2 linked regions of the Anolis sagrei genome follow. The protein of the gene in region 1 interacts with the protein of each later gene in a pairwise test. Links are inferred from orthologs where the notes say so. Each region holds a gene or a part of one and is shown on either strand. Other genes may lie near its edges.

Evidence for each region.
Region 2: the proteins of MIF (region 1) and BNIPL interact in a two-hybrid assay, tested with the Homo sapiens proteins (2 studies listed by BioGRID and IntAct). The link is inferred for Anolis sagrei from reciprocal best matches to the Homo sapiens genes MIF and BNIPL.

The regions. Positions count from the first base shown.
Region 1 is NC_090026.1:764,612-776,101, forward strand, and holds the start of MIF (macrophage migration inhibitory factor), read left to right. Parts: upstream 1-6,080; 5' UTR 6,081-6,261; coding exon 6,262-6,369; intron 6,370-8,518; coding exon 8,519-8,694; intron 8,695-11,490. Other genes in the region: solute carrier family 2, facilitated glucose transporter member 11-like, read left to right, coding at 692-819, 1,960-2,157.
Region 2 is NC_090032.1:5,211,298-5,222,033, reverse strand, and holds the start of BNIPL (bcl-2/adenovirus E1B 19 kDa-interacting protein 2-like protein), read right to left. Parts: upstream 5,034-10,736; 5' UTR 4,473-5,033; coding exon 4,333-4,472; intron 3,043-4,332; coding exon 2,950-3,042; intron 1,578-2,949; coding exon 1,516-1,577; intron 534-1,515; coding exon 336-533; intron 1-335. UniProt on the Homo sapiens protein: May be a bridge molecule between BCL2 and ARHGAP1/CDC42 in promoting cell death.

The DNA of each region.
Region 1 (11,490 bases):
GTGCGCAATTAAAATCTATGGCATATTACATTATTTAATATGAAGTTAATTTTTCTATGTAATATTTTAAGTTTGGTTAATTTCCTTGTTTTTAAATTTTTCCATTTTTAATTTCAATAATTTAAAATAGAATTAATCATTTTTTAAAAAAATATGAATTCAATTTAAATATGAAACATTTTTAAAATATTTACTTTTTAAAAAATTGATTTAATATTAATTTAATGTTTCTATGTAATATTTTAAGTTCAGTTAATTGTCTTATGGCTGGGCCAAATGTAATTAAAGTTTAAAAAATAATGGTAATATTATCTTTATAATAATATTATATTTTTACGGTTGCAATTATGTTATTTTATTATTGTTTATATTATTATATATTACAATTTTTGTACAATAATAATATATTATTATGTTGTTTTATGTACTATTATTATTCTATTATTTTTAAAAACATTTTATATTCTTATTTTTATTATTGTTATAGTATTATTAGCAGCTGTTAGGGATTGTGGGAGTTGTAGTTCTAAACACCTGGAGGGAAGGAGGGCTGAAGTTGCCTGGCCTAGGCGCTATGGACTAGGATTGCATTGGGCATTTGCGCTGCTGCACCCCACTCCCAGGGGGGTGGGCTAGATGACCCCTGGGGCCCCTTCCCTTCCCAGCCCTCTTCTCCCACTTGGGTCCACAGCAGGGGCCACGGCGTCTGTCCGCATGGAGATCTTTGACCAGGCTTCGAGACCCTCCTCCTTCGTCTTCAGCGCGGTCTTGAATTGGGTCGGGACCCTCGTCATCGGGATGGTCTTCCCCTTCATTGTGGTAAGTAAGGGGCACGCACCTGCGCCATCCCTACAATCAGAACCACTATTCTTAGGCTTACTTATGCCCGGCCTTATTTAAAACATTAAACCATTAATTAAATTTTTTAAACCTTTTTTTAAAAAAAATCCACTTAAATTAAGTTTTGAAATCTGTATTAATTTAATACCAAATTTTATTTTTCTATGTAATATTTTAAGTTTGGTTAATTTCCTTATTTTTAAATTTTTTTATTCCATTTTTAATTTCAATAATTTTTCTATGTAATATTTTAAGTTCAGTTTATTACCTTATTTTTAATTTTTTATTAAAATTTTAATTTCAATAATTTAAAATAGAATTAATAATTTTTTTAAAAAATATGAAGAATGATTTAATTTAAATATTTTTAAATATTAAATATTTTTAAAATATTTACATTTTTTAAAAAAATTCAATAATTTAATACAGAATTAGTCATTTTTTAAAAAAACATTAAGAATGATTTAATTTGATATTTTTAAAATATTAAATATTTTAAAAATATTTACTTTTTTTAAAAAAAATTAATTTAATATGAATTTAATTTTTCTATGTAATATTTTAAGTTCGGTAAATTTCCTTATTTTTACATTTTTATTCTATTTTTAATTTCAGTAATTTAAAATAGAATTAATCATTTTTTAAATATTAAATATTTTTAAAATATTTACTTAAAAATTAATTTAATATGAATTTAATTTTTCTATGTAATATTTTACGTTTAGTTAATTTCCTTATTTTTACATTTTTATTCTATTTTTAATTTCAGTAATTTAAAATAGAATTAATCATTTAAAAAAATATTTAGAAGAATTTTCTATGTAATATTTTAAGAATTTTCTATGTAATATTTTAAGTTTGGTTAATTTTCTTGTTTTTAAATTTTTTTATTCCATTTTAAATTTCAATAATTTAAAATAAAATTAATCATTTTTAAAAAAATATGAAGAATGGTTTAATTTAAATATTTCAAAATATTAAATATTTTAAAATATTTAAAATATGAAAAATGGTTTAATTTAAATATTTTTAAAATATTAAATATTTTTTAAATTTTTACTTTTGTAGAACAATTGATTTAACATGAATGTAATTTTCCTCTTTTTCTCCTTCCTGCAGGAACACTTTGGCCAGTTCTGCTTCCTGCTTTTCATGGCCGTCTTGTATCTCTCCGGTTTCCTCGTTTACTTCTATCTTCCGGAAACCAAAGAGAAGTCGATCATGGAAATCCGGAAGGAATTCGACAAGATCAATTTCAAGAAGGAATTGGAAACGAGCGCTGCCCCAGACGCCCCCGCCTTCTGCACCAAATTATAAGGATTGGGGGGGGGGGGGGGGGGATAGATTTTTGGACCCCAAAATTCCTTCTTTCTAGAAATCCAAATTTATGCTTCCATTTTTTGTTAATAAAGCAACTGTTCTCGCTCTCTAAGTTACTTTGCATCCTTGTTATCTGTGTCTGTCCACCACAAAAGAATTACTGATAGTAACTACAAGTAACGGCAACTAATTATAATGCAAATTACCCAAATAACTGCAGTTGCAAAAAGAAATGTAAGTAACTACATTGTAAAACTAATTATATAAAAGTAACTGCAAAAGTAATTACAATGAATTAGAACATAAAAGCAACTGGTGAAAAGTAACTCTTGTTGCAAAAGGAAATGTAAGTAACGACATCATAAAAATAAATATGCTTATAAGTAACTAACACAAAGGTAACTGCTGACAAGTAACTCTTGTTGCAAAAGGAAATGTAGATAACATCGTACAACTAAATGTATAAAAGTAACTAACAATAATTACAACTATAACATAAAAGCAACTGCTGAAAAGTAACTCTTGTTGCAAAAGGAAATGTAAGTAATGACATCATAAAACTAAATGTGCAAAAGTAACAGTAACAATAATTACAAGTAACTACAATACAAAAGTAACGGCTGAAAAGTAACTTGTTGCAAAAGGAAATGTAAATAACAACATCATAAAACTAAATGTGTAAAAATAACAGTAACAATAATTACAAGTAACTACAATACAAAAGTAACGGCTCAAAAGTAACTTGTTGCAAAAGGAAATGTAACGACATTGTAAAACTAAATGTGCTTACAAGTAACTAACACAAAAGTAACTGCTGAAAAGTAACTTGTTGCAAAAGGAAATGTAGATAACATCGTACAACTAAATGTATAAAAGTAACTAACAATAATTACAACTATAACATAAAAGCAACTGCTGAAAAGTAACTCTTGTTGCAAAAGGAAATGTAAGTAATGACATCATAAAACTAAATGTGCAAAAGTAACAGCAATAGTAATTACAGGTAACTAACACAAAAGTAACTGCTCAAACGTAACTGCAGTTGCTGAAGGAAATGTAAGTAACAACATTGTAAAACTAAATGTGCAAAAGTAACTACTCAAAAGTAACTGCATTTGCAAAGGGAAATGTAATTAATTACAATACAAAATGAAATGTACAAAAGTAATTGCAATTCCAAAAATGTGTTGAAAAAGGAAATGTAAGTAATGACATCATAAAACTAAAGGTACAAAAGTAGCAGCAACAGTAATGACAAGTAACTACAACACAAAAGTAACCACTCAAGAATAATCATAGTTGCAAAAGGAAATGTGAGTAATTATAATACCAAACGAAACGTACAAAAGGAACTGCAATTACAAAAAGAAAACCATGATATGTAGTTGAACTGCAGATACTATTATTATTATTTTATGTATTTATTCCTTGCTGTATCTCCCTAAAGCGAACTCAAAGCGGCTCAAAGAGATCGGTGTAGATAACGTTATCACTATGCCTAAGTAACGAATGCTGGACAAGGTGTGTCTTGAACTACTTTCTAAGGGGCACTCTCCCTTCCCGCTCTCTGATTGGTCCTTGTCAACTCACTTCCTGCATTTTCTGCCAACTTCTGCCCAGAAATTGCATTAACTGCAAACTTGAAAAGGGTCAACAATTAGCTTGCATCAACTTTTGGTTTTCCTTTGGCCAAAGTGGAAAGAAAGAGGGAGAGACGGACAGAATGGCCGCCTTAGTCTCTGACCGGGTGAGCCATAGAATCCTAGTGATGGGATGGCAGAGTTGGGATGGTCCCCCAAAGGCCATCCAGTCCATCCGCTTGGGTCCCCCAGCCTCTTGAGTCCATACATTACTTTTCATGACTTATTTCTTCTGCTGTTGATTCCTCTCCCAAAAGGATTCCTTGGTTGATATCTAATTATACTTCCAGAAGAAGATCTCCAACCTCTGGAGACCAGGATGCAAGGGAGACATGGCTTCCAACTACAGGAAAGAAAGGAGATTCCACCTGAACATGAGGAAGAACTTCCTGACTGGGAGAGCTGTTCAGTAGTGGAACTCTCTGCCCCGGAGGGAGTGTGGTGGAGGCTCCTTCTTTGGAAGCTTTTAAGCAGAGGCTGGATGGCCATCTGTCAGGGGTGATTTGAATGCAATATTCCTGCTTCTTGGCAGAATGGGGGTGGACTGGATGATGGCCCACGAGGTCTCTTCCAACTCTAGGATTCCATGATTCCATGATTCTATGAATGTGTCCAGAGGAGGGAGACTCAAATGATCAAGGGTCTGGAGAACAAGCCCTGTGAGGAGTGGCTTCAAGAGCTGGGCATGTTTAGCGTGCAGAAGAGAAGGCTGAGAGGGGATATGATGAGAGCCCTGTATAAATATGTGAGAGGAAGCCACAGGGAGGAGGAGGGAGCAAGCTTCCTTTCTGCTTCCTTGGAGACTAGGACGCAATGGAACAATGGCTTCAAACTACAAGAGAGGAGATTCCACCTGAACATGAGGAAGAACTTCCTGACTGTGAGAGCCGTTCAGCAGTGGAACTCTCTGCCCCGGAGTGTGGCGGAGGCTCCTTCTTTGGAAGCTTTTAAACAGAGGCTGGATGGCCATCTGTCGGGGGTGCTTTGAATGCAATATTCCTGCTTCTTGGCAGAATGGGGTTGAGCTGGATGATGGCCCACCAGGTGAAATGTGGACCATTTCCGCTCCCTTGGCAGCCACCTCTCCACAAAAGTCAACATTGATACTGAGATTCAACACCACCTGAGCTCTGCGAGTGCAGCATTTTCCCGAATGAAGCAGAGAGTGTTTGAGGACCGGGACATCCGTAGGGAGACCAAGGGGCTTGTCTATAAAGCTATTCCCCTCCCAACCCTGCTCTATGCCTGTGAAATGTGGACTGTCTACAGATGTCAACACTGAGACTGAAATACAATACTGCCTGAGCTCTGTGAGTGCAGCATTCTTCTGAATGAAGCAGAGCATGTTTGAGGACCGGGACATCCGAAGGGAGACCAAGGGGCTTGTTTAGAAAGCTGACTGGGAGAGCTGTTCAGCAGTGGAACTCTCTGCCAAGATTCTTCTGAATGAAGCAGAGAGTGTTTGAGGACCGGGACATCCGTAGGGAGACCAAGGGGCTTGTTTATAAAGCCATTGTCCTCCCAACCCTGCTCTACGCCTGCGAAACGTGGACTGTCTACAGATGTCAACATCGACACTGAAATACAACACCGCCTGAGCTCTGCGAGTGCAGCATTTTCCTGAATGAAGCAGAGAGTGTTTGAGGACCGGGACATCCGTAGGGAGACCAAGGGGCTTGTTTATAAAGCCATTGTCCTCCCAACCCTGCTATATGCTTGCGAAACGTGGACTGTCTACAGATGTCAACATCGACACTGAAATACAACACCGCCTGAGCTCTGCGAGTGCAGCATTTTCCTGAATGGAGCAGAGAGTGTTTGAGGACCGGGACATCTGTAGGGAGACCAAGGTGTTTGTCTATAAAGCTATTGTCCTCCCAACACTGCTCTATGCCTGCGAAACATGGACTGTCTACAGATGTCAACATTGAGACTGAAATACAACATCGCCTGAGCTCTGTGAGTGCAGCATTTTCCCAAATGAAGCAGAGAGTGCTTGAGGACCGGGAAATCCATAGGGAGAGACCAAGGGGCTTGTTTAGAAAGCTGACTGGGAGAGCTGTTCAGCAGTGGAACTCTCTGCCAAGGGGAGGGAGGGCTCTCCTTCCTTCCTTCCTCCTTCTTCCTTCCCTGCCTTCGGGCTCCAGGAGGGTCTGCCTGTTTGTCTGCCTTTTCCAGGCTGTCCTCGTTTGAACCCTCTCTGCCTCCCTCCTTCCCACGTGACGCGGGGGGCGTGTCTGTGTCCCCCCCAAGGGGGTGTGGCCACCCCTCCCCTGGCCCCGCCCTCTTCCGGTCCTGGCCAGCTACGTGCTTGCACGCACAGACTGCCTTCTTCCCTGCCTTCCTGCCTTCCTTCCTTCCTTCCTTTCCTGCCATTGCGCTGCATTGCGACCCAGGCGGGCTTCTGTTTCCTTCCTTCCTTCCTTGGCTTCCTTGCTTCGACTTCCTTCCTTGGGGGAAGATGCCGATGTTCGTGCTGAACACCAACGTGGCGGCGGAAGGCATTCCGGACAGCTTGACCGCAGAGATCACCGACCAGCTGGCCAAGGCCACCGGGAAGCCCAGCCAGGTCAGGAAGAGAGGAAGGGAAGGAGGGAAGGAAGGGAAGGAAGGAAGGAGGAAGGAAGGAAGGAAGAGCGGGAGATGGAAGGAGAGAAAGCACAGGAAGGAAGGAAGGAAGGAAGGATGGGAAGGGAAAACGAAGGAAGGAAGGAAAGGAGGATAGAGGAAAGATTCCAGGAAAGGAGGGAGGGAGGGAGGGCTGGAAGGAAAGGAGGAGAGGAAGGGAAAGAGGGAAAGAAGGGAAGGGAAGAGAGAGAAAGGAAGGAAGGAGAGAAGGAGAGGGGAAAGATGGGAAGGGAGGACAAAGGCAGGAAGGAAAGGAGGATAGAGGAAAGATTCCAGGAGAGGAGAAAGGAGAGGAGGGAAAGAGGGAAAGGAAGGAGGAATAGAGGAAAGGATAGGAGGAAGGCAGGACAAAGGAAGGAAGGAAGAGGGAGAGAAGGAAGGAGAGAAAACTCAGGAAGGAAGGAAGAGAGGGAAGGATGGGAAGGGAAAACGAAGGAAGGAAGGAAAGAAGGATAGAGGAAACATTCCAGGAGAGGAGGAAGGAAGGAGAGAGGAATGAAGGTCTGGAAGGAAAGGAGGAGAGGAAAGGCTATGGAAGGAAGGAATACAGGGAAGGATGGGAAGGGAGGGCGAAGGAAGGAAGTGAAGGGAAAGAAGGGGGAAGAGAAAAAGGATTGCAGGAGAGAAGGAAGGAAGGAAAGGCTCAGGAAGGGAAGGAAGGAAGGAAGAGAGGAAAGGGTGGGAAAGGAGGGCAAAGGAAGGAGGGAAGTGAAGGGAGAAAGAAAAGAAAGAAAGAGGAAGAGATGGAAGGAGAGAAAGGCAGAGAGAGAAAGGAAGGGCCAAGGAAGGGATAGATGGATGGAAGGAAGGACAAAAGGGAGGAAGGAGGGAAAACTATAGGAGAGGTGAAAGGAGAGAAGGAAGGAAAGGAAGGAAGAAGTGGGCGGAAGGAAGAATGAACACAGAAGGAGAGAAAAGGAGGGAGGGAAAGACCAAGGAAGGAAGGAAAGATGGAAGGGAGGGAGGGAGGAAAAGGGGAAAGAAGGAAGAGAAAAGGGAGGAAGATTCCAGGAGAGAAGGGAGGAAGGAAGGAGAGAAAGGGAGAAGGGAAAACAAAATGCTAAAGAAGGAATAGATGGAAAGAGGGAACACAGGAAAGGATGGGAAGGGAGGGCAAAGGAAGGAAAGAAGGGAAGAAAGAGGAAAGATTCCAGGAGAGGAGGAATGAGAGGAGGGAAAGAGGGAGGGAGGAATCTTCTCTGAGAGAAAGCTCACACCCAGACAATGCTCTCTTGTCTTCTTCGCCCTTCCTTCCCTCCCTCCACCCTTTGTGACCTACTTATTTCCCCCCTTCCTTTCTCTCTTCCCTCCCTTTCCTTCTCCTCTTCCTTTCCTTCCCTCCATCCTTCCCTTCATTCATTCTCTCCCACCCTTGGCTACTGCCTTCTTTCCTTCCTTCCCTCTTTCCTTCTTCCTTCCCTGCCACCCTTTGTTCCCTCCTTCTTTCCTTCCTTCCCTCTTTAATTCCTCCCTTTCCCTCTCATTTCCTTCCCTCCCTTCCACCCTTTGTTCCCTCTTTCTTTCCTGTCTTCCCTTCCCTCCTTCCTTTGCTTTCCTCCATCCTTCCCTTCTTTCCTTCCCTCCCTCTTTCTTTCCTCTCTTCCCTCCCACCTTTTTTCCCCTCCTTCTTTCCTTCCTTCCCTTCCATCCTTCATTTCTTTCCTTCTCTCCCTTTGTTCATTCCTGCCTTGCCTCCATTTCCTTCCTTACCTCTTTAATTCCTTCCTTTCCCTCTCATTTCCTTCCTTTCCTCCCTTCCACCTGTTTGTTCCCTTTCTTTCCTCTCTTCCCTCCCCCCTCTTTACCTCCCTTTCTTCTCTTCTACATTCCCTTCCACCCTGTTACCTAATTCTTTCCTTCCTTCCCTTTCCTCTAATTTCCTTTCCTCCCTTCTTCCTTCCCTCCCACCCTTTTTCCCCTCCTTCTTTCCTTCCTTCCTTCCTTCCTTCCTTCCTTCCTTCCTTCCTTCCTTCCTTCCTTCCCTCCCTCCTTCATGTCTTTCCTTCCCTCCCTCCCACCCTTTGTTTCCTCTTCCTTCCTTCCCTCCTTCATTTCCTTCCTTCTCTCCTTCCCTCTTTCACTTTCCCCAGTACATCGCGGTGCACGTCCTTCCCGGCCAGCGCATGTCCTTTGGGGGCTCCTCGTCGGAGCCGTGCGCCCTGTGCAGCCTCCACAGCATCGGCAAGATCGGGGCCGCCCAGAACAAGGCCTACTCCAAGCTCCTCTGCGCACTCCTCCAGGACAAGCTACACATCCCGCCCGACAGGTAGGTAGACAGGTGGGCAGAGCGCCAGGGGACCACAGAAGGCAGCCAAGCAGGCACCCCACCCATCGCTAGGGACCACATTGACTCAAATCTAAGGCGCACCCCTTTGGGCGGGTTACAATTAAAGATTATTATTATTATTATTATTTTCCCCTAAACTGCCTTCCCAAAACCAGGCTGCACATTAGATTCACATCATCTATGGTCAATACTTTTGTGGCTTTCAGGGTTTTGAACATGGAGGGGCGCATCAGATTCGATGGCGCATTAGACTCCAGGAAATACTATATATATATATATATATATATAGAGGAATTGTTAGGAATTGTGGGAGTTGAAATCCCAACACACCTGGAGGGGGGGAGGGCCCAGGTTGGCCCATGCATGGTGTGTGTGTGTGTGTATGTATGTATGTGTGTGTGTGTGTGTATATACACACACACACACACACACACACCATGCATGGGCCAACCTGGGCCCTCCCCCCCTCCAGGTGTGTTGGGATTTCAACTCCCACAATTCCTAACAGCTGGTAATAATATATAATATATAATAATAATAATAATAATAATAATAATAATAAAATAATAATAATATTTTAATTATTATTAAATTGCACCAGTGGTGCAGGAGTGATGACTGGAAGGTTGGGTTGCTGACCTGAAGGTTGCCGTTTCGAATCCAACCCAGGCAGAGGAGGGGTGAGCTCCCTCTGTCAGCTTCAGCTCCATGCAGGGACATGAGGGAAACCTCTGGGCAGCATCCTTGCAGATGGCCAATTCTCTCACACCAGAAGCAACTTGCAGAATTGCACTAGTGGTGCAGGAGTGATGACTGGAAGGTTGGGTTGCTGACCTGAAGGTTGCCGGTTCGAATCCAACCCAGGGAGAGTAGGGGTGAGCTCCCTCTGTCAGCTTCAGCTCCATGCAGGGACATGAGGGAAGCCTCTGGGCAGCATCCTTGCAGATGGCCAATTCTCTCACACCAGAAGCAACTTGCAGAATTGCACTAGTGGTGCAGGAGTGATGACTGGAAGGTTGGGTTGCTGACCTGAAGGTTGCCGGTTCGAATTCAACCCAAGGAGAGTATGGATGAGCTCCCTCTGTCAGCTTCAGCTCCATGCGGGGAAATGAGGGAAGCCTCTGGGCAACATCCTTGCAGACAGCCAATTCTCTCACACCAGAAGCAACTTGCAGTTTCTCAAGTCACTCCTGACACACACAAAAATTAAAATAATATAATATAATAATAAATATTTTAAATAATACAATATGATATATAACAATCTATATAAATAATGTGTAATGTCCGTTTGTTGCAGTTACTCCTGACATGAAAAAAATTAAAATGATATAATATAATAATAAATATTTTAAATAATATAATAATACAATATGATATAATGTGAGATACAACAATCTATAGAAATAATGTATAATGTCCGTTTGTTGCAGTTTCTCAAGTTACTCCTGACACGAAAAAATTTAAATAATGTAATAATAAATATTTTTAATGATATAATAATATAGTACAATATAATATGAGATATAACAATCTATATGAATAATGTGTAATGTGCGTTTGTTGCAGTTTCTCAAGTTACTCCTGACACATAAAAATTAAAATAATATAATAATATAATATGAGATATAACAATCTATATAAATAATGTGTAATGTTTGTTTGTGGGATGAACATAACTCAAAAACCACTGGACGAATGGACACCAAATTTGGACCCAAGACACGAATCAGGCCGACAAGTGACCATTACTCATAAAAACACTGAAAAACACAGCAGAAAGGGCTTAAAAAGCAAAAAATACATTACAATGCATGTGCAAAACCACATATATACACATATACACACACAAAACACATGTTGTTATTGTTATGGTCATTTTAAAGCTAATTGTATTGTTTTAATCTGTTTCTGTAAACCACTCCGAGCCAAATTGGGAGTAGCTGTATACAAGTTGAATAAACAACAACAACAACAACAACAATAATAATAATATACACAGACTGGGCCACAGCAACGCATGGCAGGGGATCGCTAGTAAATATTAAAAATAGTATGTTAAACAAAATAATAAAATATAATAATATAAAACAATATAACAAATATTAAAATATAATAATAATAATAATAATAATAATAATAATAATATACACAGACTGGGCCACAGCAACGTGTGGCAGGGGATGGCTAGTAAATATTAAAAATAGTATGTTAAAACAAAATAATAAAATATAATAATATAAAACAATATAATAATAATAATAATAATAATAATAATAATAATAATATACACAGACTGGGCCACCGCAACGCATGGCAGGGGATGGCTAGTAAATATTAAAAATAGTATGTTGAAACAAAATAATAAAATATAATAATATAAAACAATATAATAATAAATATTAAAATATAATAATAATAATAATAATAATAATAATATACACAGACTGGGCCACAGCAACGCGTGGCAGGGGATGGCTAGTAAATATTAAAAATAGTATGTTGAAACAAAATAATAAAATATAATAATATTAAACAATATAGCAATAAATATTAAAATATAATAATAATAATAATAATAATAATAATAATAATAATAATAACAATATACACAGACTGGGCCACAGCAATGCATGGCAGGGGATGGCTAGTAAATATTAAAAGTAGTGTGTTAAAACAAAATAATAAAATATAATAATATAAAACAATATAATAATAAATATTAAAATATAATAATAATAATATACACAGACTGGGCCACAGCAACGCGTGGCA
Region 2 (10,736 bases), on another chromosome or scaffold:
TATTACATGGGGATGAGCTCTGGATTGCAGCCTGCAAAACCTAATACACGGGAGTGGACTTGGTTTGCAGTCCCAAAAACTTTATTATGTGGAAATGAGCTCTGGTTTGCAGCCCCAAAAACTTAAGCTATGGAAATGAGATTTGGTTTGCAGCCCAACTAAACGTATTGTATGGAAATGAGGTCTGGTTTGCAGCCCGAAATAACTATTACATGGGGATGAGCTCTGGATTGCAGCCTGGAAAACCTAATACCTGGGAGTGGGCTTGGTTTGCAGCCCCAAAAACTTATTATATGGAAAGGAGCTCTGGGTGAAACCCGAATCCATGCCCTCACCATCCCATTCGAACCCATGGCTTTCCTGCAGCTCGCTCTCGGACGGCGTCTCCAACTCGTCCACATCGATGTCCAGGCTCCCATCTGGCGTCCGTTCCGGAAACTCCTCCGACTTCACTGACCCGTCTCCAAGTTCGGGGGCCGGGAGGCGTTTCTTCATGTGTCGCCGTCCGCACAGCTCCAGCGTGTTGAGGGCAACTGGGGGGGCGGGGGGGGGGGGGAGGAGGGATCAAAGGTCAAAGGTCAAGTGGAAGGTCCCGGGTTCAAATTCAAACCAAAATACTCCCAAGTTTCCTTATTGTTGTTGTTTATTCGTTCCGTTGCTTCTGACTCTTTGTGACCAAGTTTCCTAGAGAACCAATTTTGGATCATAACTCCCAAAGGTTCAGTATCACTATGACTGGGAGCGATGGGCTCTGTAGTCCAAAATTTTATATACCTGAGACCCCAGAATAGATAAGAGTTGGGCCAAGCTTCGTCTCTTTTTGGAGACTACAAACACGGACAGATTCATTGACTTGACTGCTTGAGGACATCATTCAGATGTTGTTGGACTACAACTCCCATCAGTCCTGGCCAACGTCAAAACTAATAGGAAAGTCTCAGCATCAAGACCACCTCTCCAAGGATTTCTCCCTTGCAACCAGGTGAAATTCAATGGTTTGGTGGCTGCAATTCCCCCGAAAGTGGCTTTTAAAAACCCAGGATGATGGGAAATGTAGTCTCCAGAATACCCAAGAATGGTGGCTGCAATTCCCCCGAAAGTGGCTTTTTAAAACCCAGGATGATGGGAAATGTAGTCTTCAGAATACCCAAGAATGGTGACTGCAATTCCCCTAAAAGTGGCTTTTCTTAGCCCAGGATGATGGGAAATGTAGTCTTCGGAATACCCAAGAATGGTGGCTGTAATTCCCCCGAAAGTGGCTTTTAAAAACCCAGGATGATGGGAAATGTAGTCTCCAGAATACCCAAGAATGGTGGCTGCAATTCCCCCGAAAGTGGTTTTTTAAAACCAAGGATGATGGGAAATGTAGTCTTCAGAATACCCAAGAATGGTGGCTGCAATTCCCCCGGAAGTGGCTTTTTAAAACCCAGGTTGATGGGAAATGTAGTCTTCAGAAATCACTGTGGGTGGGTCTATCCAGGGAACTGGACATAAAATTACTATTTATGACCCTACCGGGACTCAATTCTGAACTGGATCCTTCTAGATCCTCTCCGGAGATCTCTTCTGGAAGAGGCCTGTGAAACAGAAGGAGTTGTAAGACGGTGGAGCATCTATATATTTAACATATTTCTTTGATTCTAAGGCATGCTTTTCCTCCCATATAAACATCTCTAAAAATGTAGCGCACCTTAGAATCATACACACACACACATATATACACACACACACAAACAATATAATAATACAATAATAGCTATATCAATATATTGTATATTGGTATATCTAATCAATATATTGTATAATAATACAATAATAGGTATATCTAATCAATATATTGTATATTGGAATACCTAAACAATATATTGTATAATAATACAATAATAGGTATATCTAATCAATATATTGTATATTGTATACATAATCAATGTATTATATAATAATACAATAATAGATATATCTAATCAATATATTGTATAATAATACAATAATAGATATATCTAATCAATGTATTGTATATTGGTATACCTAATCAATATATTGTGTATTGCTATACCTAATCAATATATTGTATAATACCTCCTACATAGGTATATCTAATCAATATATTGTATAATAATACAATAACAGGTATATTGAATCAATATATTGTATATTGGTATACCTAATCAATATATTGTATAATAATACCATAATAGGTATGTCTAATCAATATATTACATATTAGTATACCTAATCAATATATTGTATAATAATACAATAATAGGTATAACTAATCAATATATTGTGTATTGGTATACCTAATCAATATATTGTATAATCATACAATAATAGGTATACCTAATCAATATATTGTGTATTGGTATACCTAATCAATATATTGTATAATAATGCAATAACAGGTATATCTAATCAATATATTGAATATTGGTATACCTAATCAATATATTGTATAATAATACATTAATAGTTATATCTAATCTATATATTGTATATTGGTATACCTAATCAATATATTGTATAAAACCTCCTATATAGGTATATCTAATCAATATATTGTATAATAATACAATAACAGGTATATTGAATCAATATATTTTATATTGGTACACCTAATCAATATATTGTATAAAATATAGGTATACCTAATCAATATATTGTATAATAGTACAATAATAGGTATATCTAATCAATATAGGATCCCTCGGTGGCGCAGTGGGTTAAACCGCTGAGCTGCTGAACTTGCTGACCGAAGGGCCACCGGTTCAAATCCGGGGAGCAGGGTGAGCTCCCACTGTTAGCCCCAGCTTCTGCCAACCTCGCAGTTTGAAAAAATACAAATGTGAGTAGATCAATAGGTTAACACTCCGGCGGGAAGGGAAGGGTATCGAACTGCATTAATTCTACAGTACAGACGCACTCTTAATAAGCCTTCCCTATGGGGCTCACCGAGGAAACCCATCGTCCTGCCATTCCTCCTTCAGCTCCATGTCTGTGATGTTCAGCGACTCATCTCCTTGCGTTACGGTTTCCTTCTTCAACCTGCAGCAACGAGAAATCGTGGCAAGCATACAGTGAATACAAAATAAAGCCTTTTATACATAAAACAGAGCTGTCAGTTTTGAATTTGCCGCTCCCCACCCCTTTGCCGGCTCGGCGATGATTGGCTGGTGCTCTACAGCTGGGTGGAGGCTCGGCTGCCTCCTGAGCGCCTCAGTCAATGGGTGAGCTTCTGCCGCCTCGGCCCCCTGGCCAATCAGGAGAGAGGGAGGTGGGACGAGAGGGAAACAATGAAGTCTTGAGTGGATTATGGAAATATGTGGTGTCCAAATGGCCCGTGAGTCCTCAGGGGCCTTCAAGCCAGCCAGCTTATTGTCCTGAAGGGTGAGAGGGAAACAATGAAGTCTTGAGTGGATTATGGAAATATGTGGTGTCCAAATGGCCCGTGAGTCCTCAGGGGCCTTCAAGCCAGCCAGCTTATTGTCCTGAAGGGTGAGAGGGAAACAATGAAGTCTTGAGTGGATTATGGAAATATGTGGTGTCCAAATGGCCAGTGAGTCCTCAGGGGCCTTCAAGCCAGCCAGCTTATTGTCCTGAAGGGTGAGAGGGAAACAATGAAGTCTTGAGTGGATTATGGAAATATGTGGTGTCCAAATGGCCAGCGTCCTCAGGGGCCTTTAAGCCAGCCAGCTTATTGTCCTGAAGGGTGAGGGAAACAATTAGGTCTTGAGTGGATTATGGAAATATGTGGTGTCCAAATGGCCGGCGAGTCCTCAGGGGCCTTCAAGCCAGCCAGCTTATTGTCTTGAAGGGTGACAATCAACGTTGATGTCTGGCAAGCCTGCCAGGATCCGGATTTTCCTTGAGCTGGGATATGGAGACAATGGGGCAATCTTGGTTGAAGTTTCGGTTGAGGGAAGTTTGAATGAGGAAACAGATCAGGACGAAGTGTGGCTTTCCGAAGGTTCTTTGTCCTGCTGAGATAGGATCATTTATGCCAAGTGGGCATCTCCCTCTGGGGGTCAACTGTCACCAGAGCTTTGGCCTTCTCTGGGGCCTCAGCGAACTACAAATCCCGGGATCCGACAGCAGTTGGAAGTGGTACCAAACTGCATTCATTCTACAGTGTAGATCGATACCACCCTGTTGTATTTTTCTTACCAACTTTATGGGCTTTTAAAAAAAAACCAGACTCCGATAAGACTCGATTGTCAAGCTGTACCAGTTCCTGCTCAGCCGATCGGGCAGAAAAGGCATTTATTTTTACGGAGGGCGGATTTTGGTGGCATGCAAACAACACAAACAGAGTCATGGGGAGAAACTAAGTGTCACCTGCTTTTCGTCCTGGAATTTGGAGGTAGGCTGCCTCTGGATAGGGAGGCTCCACGCAGGTGACTTTTGGAGTTTTCTATCATAACAATAGAAAGGGTTTCTGGAATGTATATATGCCGAGAAAGACAGGATACATACATCTATTGCCTGCTTCACTATCCATCTATCTGTTTACCTATCCATCTAGCTAGCTATTGATTATCCATTCATCTAGCCAACTATTTGTCTGCCCATCTGTCCATCCACCTATTGAATTATCTAACTAATTATCCACTTACCTTATCTATCTATCTATTCAACTGATTTATCCACTTCTCCATCCACTGACCTTATCCATCTATCCACCTATTGTATCTTTTTATCCATCTGGCTATCTATCCATCCACTTATTAATCCACTCATCTATCAATCCACCCAGCTATTTATTCATCCACCTATCTTATTAATCCACACATCTATCCATTTCATCTATCTATCTATCTATCTATCTATCTATCTATCTATCTATCCAGCTATCTATTTATTTATCCATCGACCAATTTACCTATCCATCCATCCATCCACCTTGTTAATGCACACATCTATCTATCCATCTATTTACCTATCTATTTGCCTATCCACCTTATCCCTTTATCAACCAATCGTATCTATTTATCTATCCGCCCATCTTATCTATCTACCTACCTACCTACCCATCCATCCATCCATCCGTCCGTCCGTCCATCCGTCAACTTGTCTTTCTATCCACCTGTTTATCTATCTGTCCATCTATCCATCTATCCATCTGTCTTTCTATCCACCTATCTATCTGTCCATCTTCCTGCCTATCCATCCATCCATGTCTCAATCTCCTTCTATCCACCTATCTGTCCATCTTCCTATCTATCTATCTATCTATCTATCTATCTATCTATCTATCTATCTTTCCATCCATCCATCCATCCATCCATCCATCCATCCATGTATCAACCTGTCTTTCTATCCACCTATCTATCTGTCCATCTTCCTATCTATCTATCTATCTATCTATCTATCTATCTATCTATCTATCTATCTATCCATCCATCCATCCATCCATCCATCCATCCATCCATCAACTTGTCTTTCTATCCACCTGTTTATCTATCTGTCCATCTATCTATCCATCCATCCATCCATCCATCCATCCATCCATCCATCCATCCGTCTTTCTATCCACCTATCTATCTGCCCATCTTCCTATCATCCATCCATTCATCCATGTCTCAATCTCTTTCTATCCACCTATTTGTCCATCTTCCCATCCATTCATGTATCAATCTGTCTTTCTATCCACCTGTCTGTCTGTCTATCTATCTATCTATCTATCTATCTATCTATCTATCTATCCATCCATCCATCCATCCAGCTATTTATCCATCCACCATTTTCCTACCTATTCACCTATCTGTCCACCTATCTTATACTTTTATTCATCTGTGCATTCATCCATCTACCCATCAGCTTTCCATAGCACCTATCTTATCAACCAACCAACCCACCCATCTATCCATCCACCCATCTAGATATCCATGTGTCTACCCATGCAGCTATTTATCCATTCACCTAGCTTATCAACCCACCTGTTATCTATCTGTCTGTTTATCTATCTATCTATCTATCTATCTATCTATCTATCTATCTATCTATCTATCCATCCACCCACCCACCCACCCACCCATCCATCCAGTTATTTATCCATCCACTCATTCACCTATAGTGTTCCCTCGCTACTTCGCTGTTCACTTCTAGCGGACTCGGTGTTTCGCGGTTTTCAAAAAATATTAATTTAAAATACATATTACGGTATTTTCGCTGTTTCGCGGGTTTTTGCCGCCGCTCTCCGAGGCGCTTTCCCTCCTTGGTCCTCCTTCCCTCCCATCAGCCTTGAAAAAATATTAATGTAAAATATATATTGCGGTATTTTCGCTGTTTCACGGGTTTTTGCCGCTGCCGCTCTCCGACATGCTTTCCCTCCTCGGTCCTCCTTCCCTCCCTCCCATCCTTACTTTCCTTCACTTTATTTTAAGTTTATAAAGACTTAAAATAGTGTATTACTACTAAAACAATGTTTAAATATTCAAATAAATATAGCGTCCCTACTTTGTGGATTTTCACTTTTTGCGGGAGGTCCTGGAACGTCACTCCCGCAATAAGTGAGACGGATTGGATCCGAGTCAATTGGAAAATGTCTGGTTTGTTTTGGTTTGCAAGGAAGATCCTCCTGGGAGTAACTTTGGACCAAGCTCTGATCAGGTAGAAGGGACTCACCTTTCGGGCGGCAGAGCAGCTTCCTGGGAGCCCATCTGGGCCGGAAAAGGTGCCGGGTCCCTCCTGTTCCTTTCCGGGAACCCAAATAGACGACCCAGGAACGGTTGGGACGTCCCACGAAACCGGCGCCGAAAGCCTCCTTGACTCACCCTGGAACTGGTTCTGCAGCATCGAAGGCTTAAGCCCGGTCACGGCGCCTGGGTCCTAATGCCGTGACAAATAGGGAGTTGTGTTGTTTGTTTAACAACACCCGGATTTGGAGAGGTGACATGCAGGGGGAAAAAATCTTTAAAAATGGGTGACTATGAAACAAACGACCAACGGGAACGCCGTTCGCCGAAAAGTCCGTTGTCAAAATACTCAATTTCCATTTCCTTCGATAGGTTGGAACAAAATATATATCCTCCGGTGGGAAATAAGCCTCTCTGATGTGTGTAAATGGGGTGGAAAAAAATCTAGCATGGCAGCATTCTTTCCTTGAATCTGGTGAAGTCGCTGAACCCAAAGGGGATTTTTCTCCAATGGTTCATCCCGGAAAGAAGTGACTCTTCGCATGCCAGCAAGAGGTTTCTCTCCTGGGCTTTTCAGTGCTGTTGTTGTTGTTCATTCGTTCAGTCGTCTCCGACTCTTCGTGACCTCGTGGACCAGCCCACGCCAAAGCTCCCTGTCGGCCGTCACCACCCCCAGCTCCTTCAAGGTCAGTCCAGTCACTTCAAGGATGCCATCCATCCATCTTGCCCTAGGTCGGCCCCTCTTCCTTTTGCCTTCCACTTTCCCCAGCATAATTGTCTTCTCTAGGCTTTGCTGTCTCCTCATGATGTGGCCAAAGTACTTCAACTTTGTCTCTAGCATCCTTCCTTCCAGTGAGCAGCCAGGCTTTATTTCCTGGAGGATGGACTGGTTGGATCTTCTTGCAGTCCAAGGCACTCTCAGCACTTTCCTCCAGCACCACAGCTCAAAAGCATCGACCTTCCTTCGCTCAGCCTTCCCTATGGTCCAGCTCTCACATCCGTAGGTTACTACAGGGAATACCATGGCTTGGACTAGGCGGATCTTTGTTGCCAGTCTGATGTCTCTACTCTTTACTATTTTATCGAGACTGGACATTGCTCTCCTCCCAAGAAGTAAGCGTCTTCTGATTTCCTGGCCACAGTCTGCATCTGCAGTGATCTTTGCGCCTAGAAATACAAAGTCTGTCACGGCCTCCACATTTTCTCCCTCTATTTTCCAGTTGTCAATCATTCTTGTTGCCATAATCTTGGTTTTTTTGACGTTCAGCTGCAACCCGGCTTTTGCGCTTTCTTCTTTCACCTTGATTAGAAGGCTCCTCAGCTCCTCCTCGCTTTCGGCCATCAGAGTGGTGTCATCTGCATATCTGAGGTTGTTAATGTTTCTTCCAGCAATTTTCACCCCAGCTTTGCATTCATCCAGCCCCGCACATCGCATGATGTGTTCTGCATACAAGTTAAAAAGGTTGGGTGAGAGGATGCAGCCTTGCCGTACGCCTTTCCCAATCTTGAACCCGTCTGTTGTTCCGTGGTCAGTTCTTACTGTTGCTACTTGGTCCTTGTACAGATTCCTCAGGAGAGAGACAAGGTGGCTTGGGATGCCCATCCCACTAAGAACTTGCCACAATTTATTATGATCCACACAGTCAAAGGCTTTAGAATAGTCAATGAAGCAGAAGTAGATGTTTTTCTGAAACTCCCTGCCTTTCTCCATTATCCAGCGGATATTGGCAATCTGGTCTCTCGTTCCTCTGCCTTTTCTAAACCCAGCTTGAACATCTGGCAACTCTCGCTCCATGTATTGCTGGAGTCTTCCTTGCAGGATCTTGAGCATTACCTTGCTGGCATGAGAAATAAGGGCCACTGTACGGAAGTTGGAGCAGTCTTTCGCATTTCCCTTTTTTGGTATGGGGATGTAAGTTGATTTTTTCCAGTCTGATGGCCATTCTTGTGTTTTCCATATTTGCTGGCATATGGCATGCATCACCTTGACAGCATCATCTTTTAAGATTTTAAACAGTTCAGCTGGGATCCCGTCGTCTCCTGCTGCCTTGTTGTTAGCAATGCTTCTTAAGGCCCATTCAACCTCACTCCTCAGGATGTCTGGTTCTAATTCATTCACCACACCGTCAAAGCTATCCTCGATATTGTTATCCTTCAGTGCTGTTGGACTTCTTTTATCAATGGCTTGGATGGAGGAAGGTTTAAAGCAGGGGTTCCCAACCTTTTTTTGGCCAGGGACCACTTGACCAGGGACCACTCGAAAAGAGACTAACTTGAACAGAGATCACAGTTGAACAGTGGCTACTTGAACAGGGACAACATTGACAAGGGACCACTTTAACAAGGATCACTTTGACTTAGGGACCATTTTGACCAGGGACCACTTGAACAGGAACCACTTTGACCAGGGACCACTTGAACAGGAACCACTTTGATCAGGGACCACTTGACTAGGGACCACTTTAAAAGAGCCACTTGACTAGGGTCCATGTTGACCAGGAACCACTTGACTAGGGACCACGTTGACCAGGGACCACGTGAATAGGGGCCACTTGAACAGGGACCACCTTGACAAGGGACCACTTGAACAGGGACCACTTTGCGCAGGAACCACTTGAACAGGGGCTACTTGAACAGGGACAACCTTGACAAGGGACCACTTTAACAAGGATCACTTTGACTAGGGACCATTTTGACCAGGGACCACTTGAACAGGAACCACTTTGACCAGGGACCACTTTGCCCAGGGACCACTTCAACAGGAAACACTTTGATCAGGGACCACTTGACTAGGGACCACTTGAAAAGAGCCACTTGACTTGGGTCCACGTTGACCAGGAACCACTTGACTAGGGACCACGTTGACCAGGAACCACTTGACTAGGGACCACGTTGACCAGGGACCACTTGAACAGGAACCACTGTACCTAGGGCCATCTTGACCAGGGACCATTTGAACAGGGACCACTTTGCCCAGGAACCATTTGAATAGGGGCCACTTGAACAGGGACCACCTTGACAAGGGACCACTTGAACAGGGACCACTTTGCACAGGAACCACTTGAACAGGGGCTACTTGAACAGGGACACCTTGACAAGGGATCACTTTAACAAGGATCACTTTGACTAGGGACCATTTTGACCAGGGACCACTTGAACAGGAACCACTTTGACCAGGGACCACTTGACTAGGGACCACTTTGCTCAGGGACTACTTTGCCCAGGGACCGCTTTGCCTGGGGACCACTTGAACAGGGACCACCTTGAATAGGGGCCACTTGAACAGGGACCACCTTGACAAGGAACCACTTGAACAGGGACTACGTGAACAGGGACCACCTTGACAAGGGACCACTTGAACAAGGATCACTTTGACTAGGGACCATTTTGACCAGGGACCACTTGAACAGGGACCACTTTGACCAGGAACCACGTGAACAGGGGCCACCTTGACAAGGGACCACTTGAACAAGGATCACTTTGACTAGGAACCATTTTGACTAGGGACCACTTGAAAAGGAACCACTTTGACAAGGGACAACTTGGACAGGGACCACTTTGACCAGGGATCCCCTTGACCAGGGACCACTTTTACCAGGAACCACTTTGCCCAGGGACTGCTTTGCCCAGGGACCACTTGAACAGGGACCACTTGAACAGGGACCACTTTGACCAGGGACCACATGAAAAGAGACTACTTGAATAAGGATCACCTTGACCAGGGACCACCTTGACCCGGGACCACTTGATCAGGGACCACTGTACCAGGGACCACTCTCCAACATTAGTATCGAAAGGGTTACGAATCAGTTTTTGCTCAACTTTAGATTTGGTTTGGTTATTTGTGGTGCTGATTCAGAAAACTGCATTGGATAGACCACATCAGCTCTAGTTTCTGATACAAAACATATGCCACCCAGTGGTTGCCATCTGCTCGCTCACAGAAAACCATATTTAATAATCTAGAGCTGATGTGGTAGTAGCAATCTTTCGTGGGTATGCAGCCTCTCTGCTCCCGACATCCCTGTTGCCGCAGCACGACAAGACGGTTTTGTGAGAACAGTCGCTCTCGTTGCCACGTGGTTTCAAGGAAAGGGTGTAGTA